Caenorhabditis elegans: one gene and its partner. The protein of the gene in region 1 purifies or fractionates together with the protein of each later gene. This does not show direct contact. Each region holds a gene or a part of one and is shown in the gene's direction. Other genes may lie near its edges. The genes, in order: F47B7.2 and rpl-35A.

Region 1 (3,930 bases):
TCTGCATTTTGCGCGTCGCGGTGTTTGCACCGAAACGCTTACCGTACTCCTCGTCATTTGTAAATTCCCGATTTGAATTTTAGAGAGGATGGTTCAGTGGAAACGACGGTTTTTTCGGGAATTTTGACAATTACATGAAATATTGGGCTAAAAATAGTGATTTTCAGCGGAATTTTCCAGATATGCGTCACGAAGAGCAGAAATGTGCGATTTCACGTGGGAAATGCTCGTGGGCAATCTACTGACCTGATTTTGCGAATAATCGATATTCTACGGGCAGGAGAGCTCGTGGGCTCTACACCGCCTGATTTCTAGGGAAATCAACCGTTCTGGGTGTTTTCTAGGAGGAACACCCGTACTAACTCTACACGCACGCTAGCCGCGCCGCGTGTCTCCGCCTGACTCCAGATTCTTAATACAGCTCGATTTTTTAGTGAAAATCAAGAGCTGCAACGGTCGATGCACCAATGTTGACACTCGGGACTAGTAGAGGGGAGTCAGTCACCCTACCGAGTGACAAACAGCGTATTTCAGATACGCGCGGAGAGACACGGAGCAATGTTCGAGCGGCATTGGTGATAAGCGGTGCGGAGAGAATAACAGTACACAGTTTCAGACGAAATTCCAGTTTATTCAGAGGATATAAATAGGAATTAAAGTGATTATCAGGATGGAAATGGTGAAGAAAGGTCCTGAATCACAGTGTCTGCGGATGGGTAGCCGCTGACTCGTCTGGAGAAAGGTAGAACAGAATGAACGATTGGCCTAAAAGTAGGATAGAATTATTGTGTGGATTTACGGAGCTACGACGCTCCGGAGTAACGGGAGGTCTCGGAGGAGCGCGCTTGCATCGGGAAATACGCAAATGGCGGTAATTCAAAAGGGAATTATTATTAATAGATAATAAACGGAAAAGGACAACGGAGAGTGAATGTATTCGCGGATGATGAGTGGTGGCGAGTGGGTGAGCCTGACCGGTCATATATCTGCAAAGTTGGGACGCAGGGGAAGCGTTAGGCCCAAGTCACAACAGTTATTACTGTGAATTTTTTCTAGTTTTAATACTGAATTAAGCATTAAATAAAAAAAGTAGAATTTAAAAACTTTTATAACATATTTCTAGAAGAAATCTAAATGTTACTTCTGCTTCTGTAGACATTTTAATTTTAGTTAAGTAGTTTTGAAAAATATGTATTTTTTGATTTTGAAATTGTTTAAAATGCACGCAGATTAGTTTTTGAACATGAAATATTATTGACACCAATTTTATCAGTATTGTATATTGTTTTGTTTTTTTTGTACTGTTTTTTTTAATTGTCACAAATATAGAGCAGCTACAAAAATTTGAAACAAAAAGTTTTGAATTTATATATTTATTTTTTGCTTTTTCTGTTTTGGTATACGTTTTTTTTTGTTTTTTTTTCAGATATCTCCTGTTTAGTTTGCAGTTTTGGAGCCGATGGTTTTTTAAACCTTGCTAAAAAAAATATAATACGATTTTTAAATAATAATGTTATTGAAAACCGTGGTATATATTTTTTTCATTTCAAAAAACATCTTCCATTATGTTGAAATACTCAATGCAACGTGTATATAACAGAACACAACATTCAATTTCAATTTTTCTCAATTCAATTTTCCATTCAAATTTCTCAATAAAATATAAATTATTATTCCGTCAATATCATAATGTTCTCACATAACTTATTAAATACACTAATATAATAAGTAACTTTCACGCAATCACCATATAATTTTAGGCTGCAAACACTACAACCTACGCACAATTGCGGACTTCCACGCAGGCACCTAGGCTCATTTGCCAACTTGTTATTTTTTTTTCAGAATTAATTAAGTTTATTTTTCTGTGTTACTAAGTTTAATCTGTGTATTTTTTCTTCACTATCATTTTGTTACTTCTGTTAATTTCAGGGTTAATTCACCGCATGAACGAAAAAGAGCCAGGAGTGGCAAAGAGTCTGTGCATAGCTGCCGTCATAACAGGTTCGTTGCAAGAAAATTGAGTTATCGATCGGCGGTGTGCACGTCAGCACGGCCCGTTTAGTGTACGGTTCACATCAAAAAATTTTATTGGCATATGCGAGAAGACAAATTCGCCGATGTATATTTCACTTTCGACGGCATTGTCCCGCTGCCGGACACCATTTCCATTCTATTTTTGATAATCGAGACGATATTGGCTTCTGTCCGCCGTGCACCAACCGTCATGTAGTCTAGGGTTTGGCGACAGTTCGGCAGGCGAAACGAAACTCCCATTAAACACATATTGGAAGACGCGCTGTCGTGGGATGAGTGCGACCTTATTATTGAGTGACCTCATTGCAGTGAATCATCACTCGGTTTTCATTTCATTCGACGCGCCATATCCGAATGGGTGTTTGTTTTTTGCACTACAATTAGGTATACCTTGAAACATTATAACAAAAAAGTCACCGAAGTAAATTTCTCCCCGAGTATGTTTTGCTTGCAATCAATGTCTTCCGCGCTCGAGATAGGCGACCATAGCTTGCTTCGTCCACCCAAAAACCTGTTCGAACTAGCCACTTCCCCGTCCGCAAGTCGAATTTTCTTCTTTCATCGCTATCCTACACGCGTTTCGCTGTTTCTCACATTCAAATCCGCTTTTCTCTTCTTTTCCCTTTTTTGCTGTTAGTGAGATTTTAGATTTTTAGAAAACCCTTTTTGGTGACGTCTGAACTATATACACTATCATAACAAAAGTAAAAGTGTGACGGATTTTTTGTCATAAGTTTAATTTCTGTCTAATAGTGTATTCATATCTTTCTTTAATCTTCAATTTTGAATAGGAGTTTAAAACTATAAGCTATTGGTTTTTTTGCAGGAGTGTTTATGCTATTCATCTTGGTAGTTATCTTGGCGTTCAGCGCTGGAGGAAGCTCTGGCGAATCACTATACGACAAAGACGATCCGATTCTCGAACTCGATGTAGATACATTCAGTGCAGCTATCTATGGATCCGTATGTTTTTTCCCTTGAAAAACTCCAAAATAAACTGAAAGCTTTTCAGAAAAAAGCACATTTCATCGAGTTCTACTCTTCATGGTGTGGTGCTTGCATCGGATATGCTCCAACGTTCAAAAAGTTCGCCAAGTAAGTTCAGATTAGCAAAATGGAATGCACATTGATAATATTTACATAGTGATTGCATGGCTTTCATGCCGACGATTTTTTTAAATCAAACAAAAAACATTCCGCAAAAACTTGAAAAGGTTATATCTCGGTTCATTTTGAGTAATGAAAAACTATAAACTATACAATTGAAAATTGCATACTCAAATATATGTATAATAAAAAGTTCCACGATTTTTTCAATCCAATAATTTCAGACAACTGGAAAAATGGGCTCCGCTCGTTCAAGTGACTGTGGTCAACTGTGCCGATGACAAGAACATGCCACTTTGCAGAGAGCACTCTGTTAGCTCATATCCATCTCTTAGAGTAAGCAAACAATTTTTTAAATGAGAATGGAAATCTTAATACAACAATTTTCAGTACTTCAAATACAACTCGCACAATAAGGACGATGGAATGAAGTACAGTGGGGACAAATATGACATCAACAAGTTGGCTCATGATATCGCTGGTCTTGCTCAAGCCGATGCTCAAAAGCAAAACCCTGAAAGCTGGCCGACCTTCTTGCCACTTTCTGAGTAAGTATTTTGTGATTAACGCAGATTTAAATATTTCAAAACAACCTTTTTAGCACTACCACGTTGGAAGAAGTGTTCAAGTCGATTGGAACAACTTCATATCTTGCAATTGTCGTTCAAGACAGTCCATCTGTAATAGCATGGGCGAACTTGATCAATTATCACGGGAACAATGGTGTCAAAGTTGCTTATGTTACCCAAAATCATCCAATTGCCACCAAGTTCTTCTCCGATGGCG
Region 2 (3,584 bases), on another chromosome or scaffold:
GGGGTTGATGATGAAGCGCCTGGAGAATCTTCTTTCTTTGAAGCAATCGTTGAGTCTTCGGAGCTCGCTTCCGAATAAGCGTCTTCGTCTTTTGAATCATCATTATAAGCCATTTGACGGGCCATCATACCGCCTCTCGCAAAACTTCCAGCTCTATGAGCCATATTACGAACATGTTCTTGGTCTTTTGCGATAAATGCGGCCTGTGATGCAGCTACAGTTATAGTATCCTCCATTATATCAAGGCCAGCAGTCATTCGTTTCTCTCTTTTACGAACAGTAAGCTCCTCCCAACCTCCAAGCGTCAGCAATAAAATTTTCCAGATAAGCAGGACAATCTTTTTAATTGGAAAATGTGGTGCAGTTCCTATGTAGAACGGATGAAGCATGTCGAAAAGTACAATAAGAAGAGGCTCATTTCCATTTTCGATTGGTTCTTGAACTTCTTCGCGAAACGCTTTTCTGGTTTCAAGATCACTATCGGTTTCGTCTTCTCTTCCAGATCGCTCATCGAGAATTTGAACAATCATATGATAAAGTCCAGCGAGAATTACGCGAAGCATTTCATTATCAACCATAGTTGGCAACTGCCGCGTTCTCCATTTTTCAGAATCCGAGAGATCGGCTAAACTGGCATTCCTGCTACTTCTTGAGCTTGCTTTTGAAATTCTCCCGTCGTTCGGTGGGCTCTCAAATGGTTCTTTAATTTCTGTCATCAACAGAGTACACAACGCCTGAAAATGTACATTTTTAAAACAATGATTGAAAATTATAAAGATATACCTGGTAAACGCCGTTCTTATAACAAATGAAAGAATTCTCGATTGCACGATGGTAGACCATTGAAGGGCCCTCAGGGTCCATTTCTTTGGTTTTTCGAATAGGGACATTCATCAACAATTTTTGATCATACTGATATTCAATTTCCTCATTTTCTAAACATCCAAAGTCTGTTGCTGATCCCTGAAATTTAAATAAATATATATCGAATAACAAATGAGAGACAAACCTGGAGCAGAAAGAGAATTATACGAGCTGATTTCAAACGAACTTCCAAATCTGCACTTTCCATTCGAGAGCAAAGGTCTTGAATAACATAATTTTTTTGGACAGCACTAAATTCTTCGAATGTCGATGGAAACTGTTCGTGCTTGCCGTCCTGTAAAAGAAAAATAACTATTTTCCTGTTGTAAAATCGCTTGCATATGATTCCTCTATATATTCCTTCCAGTTGCTGATGTTAATACCGAACTCTTCTATTTCAGAATAACTGTAAAGTTCTGCCATTTCACGAATTCCTGCATCACCGTCACCATACTCGAAATCTAGATCTTTATCAATGGCGGCAACCTGCAAAACTGTATTGTTTTTCAACTTCTTCATGAAAATTACATTATCAGAGCTTTCATGATGAATGAATCCGCCATACGCTGGAGTTATCATAGGCTGAGCTTCTTTCAGTTGCTTCAATTTCAAAACATTTGCTGATCGTCTTGCGGCCAGTGAGCTTTCGGAGTATTCAACATGTTCATCATCAGCACTTCGCCTTTCTTTGTCACCATAAACTGGAACTATTAGGAGGTTTATTTGATGATATATTCATTTTCTCACCGTCTTCTGCAAAATTAGGCCTGATTCCCATTACATTCGGCTTTCTCGTTCAGTAGAACTAAAAATGAGTATTTTATTCAATTGTCAAGCGCAAGCAAATTCCGTAAGAAACTATTATATAAAAAAACAGGAAAGCAAAAACAAAACAATATTTTTTGCAATTTGCTAAACAACACGCACTACGACACTCCGCTTTAACGTTTAGATGTGCAGGCATTTCTACCGTAGTTATTTTGCGCCTCGACTCGTTTTACGGAATTTTTTCTTTTCTTTTACCAATTTTCATGCTGGCCTACGAATTTTTTGAGCAGAAAATGGATATTTTTGTAATAAAATCAATATTATCATGTTTATCTTATTCCCCGCTGTTCTCTTACTTGGATCATTTACGAAAAACCACTTTTTGATTTTAGGACTTCGTTAAATCTCGATTTTTTGTAAAAAGTTTCAACTTACTTATTCTTCGCAATTATTCTCCAGTCTCATAAAAATTGTTAAAACAGTTATCTGAAAAATGTTCATTTGTTATTTCGTCGCTATTTCGTTTCTCCGTCCACTTTAAACTTCTTCACTAAATTAATTTTCGTTTCAGGTAAAAATGGCTGACACCGCTGTTGCTAGAAGACCATCGGCCCCAACTACTGGACGGTATGTTTTTGCTTTTTTTTTTTAATCAGTGACCGCTGGATATTTTTGAGCTCTGCTGAAAAATATTCAGACTGCAAATTCTTCATATAGTCTTTAAAAAATGTATAGTAGCATTATCCTAACTATTTCTAGTCTTATCTAATCCGCGGCATTTTTTTCCATTTTCTCGGATCAGCAATTCACAAATCAGGACATCAACAAAATAATAATAAATTAATTTTCAGTCTTTACGTCAAAGCCATCTTCACCGGATTCAAGAGAGGACTTCGCACCCAATCCGAGCACACCTCGCTTTTGAAGCTTGAGGGAGTCTTCAACAAGGAAGATGCTGGTTTCTACGCCGGAAAGCGCGTCGTCTACTTGTACAAGGCCCACAACAAGACTTTGGTATCGCACATATATTTTTCAGTTTAATTTTTTTTTCATTTTAGAAAACCGGACACACCGTCGCCACCCGTACCCGTGCTATCTGGGGAAAGATCACTCGCCCACACGGAAACGCCGGAGCCGTTAGAGCCAAGTTCCATCACAACATCCCACCAAGTGCCCTCGGAAAGAGAATCCGCGTGGTAAGATAATTCTAGTTTTATTCAATTGCACATTGATTTCTTTCAGCTTCTCTACCCATCCAACATCTAAGTGGTGATCTTCTGTTATTGTTATTGTTCGCAGTTGTAATAAACAGTTGTGACTTTGAATGTACGTTTTAAATTGTGCAAAATCACATTCTATTGAAAACATTAATTCATATAATTGTAAGTTTATTGTGAAACTTTCTCTTCTGGAAACGTATATTTTCTAAAGTTTTTATTAACAAAATTGGAGCGATTTAAGGTTTTAAGGATGAATTATAGTTTCTATTGTTAATAAGATTAATCTAATTGATGAGAAACATTCTCCGAGTGATGATATTGTCGTCTGTCTTGATAATCTGGATTGGCCTCGTTTTGTTGGGAACTCGATACGCCGCTCGTAAATGTTGTCTGAAAAAAAGAAACTAATCCTGGTTCAAAAATTCGTTCTCACCTCTGGCAAAATTGTTGTGGCACCTGATCGCAAAGAATCTAATGAAGAAAACACTGTTTTGAACATGTGACATAACGAGAAAGTTGAAATTCCCGGACCACAAGTTGGGCAGACTCTTCCAATGTACCAATACAACGCGATGAGAGCGACAAAATGAGCTACAGCAAACCAGAAATGAATTAAGAGAAGGATTGCCAAGTTCACCAGAAACTGAAAAAAATACTTGAAAAACTTTAAGATATGTACCACTCACTCCCAGAAAAGACACGTATCTGTTGCTGAACATGGAATACCATGTT

The links.
Region 2: the proteins of F47B7.2 (region 1) and rpl-35A fractionate together in Caenorhabditis elegans (co-fractionation; one large-scale study listed by BioGRID). This does not show direct contact.

The regions. Positions count from the first base shown.
Region 1 is NC_003284.9:3,770,831-3,774,760, forward strand, and holds the start of F47B7.2 (Sulfhydryl oxidase), read left to right. Parts: upstream 1-1,931; 5' UTR 1,932-1,946; coding exon 1,947-2,004; intron 2,005-2,269; exon of another isoform or gene 2,270-2,401; intron 2,402-2,446; exon of another isoform or gene 2,447-2,709; intron 2,710-2,863; coding exon 2,864-3,000; intron 3,001-3,049; coding exon 3,050-3,132; intron 3,133-3,368; coding exon 3,369-3,480; intron 3,481-3,534; coding exon 3,535-3,692; intron 3,693-3,745; coding exon 3,746-3,930.
Region 2 is NC_003280.10:7,103,360-7,106,943, forward strand, and holds rpl-35A (Large ribosomal subunit protein eL33), read left to right. Parts: upstream 1-2,203; 5' UTR 2,204-2,209; coding exon 2,210-2,259; intron 2,260-2,483; coding exon 2,484-2,646; intron 2,647-2,690; coding exon 2,691-2,828; intron 2,829-2,874; coding exon 2,875-2,898; 3' UTR 2,899-2,957; downstream 2,958-3,584. Other genes in the region: farl-11 (DUF3402 domain-containing protein), read right to left, coding at 1-734, 784-963, 1,010-1,159, 1,204-1,350, 1,393-1,571, 1,612-1,642; F10E7.9 (Amino acid permease/ SLC12A domain-containing protein), read right to left, coding at 3,132-3,242, 3,286-3,495, 3,539-3,584.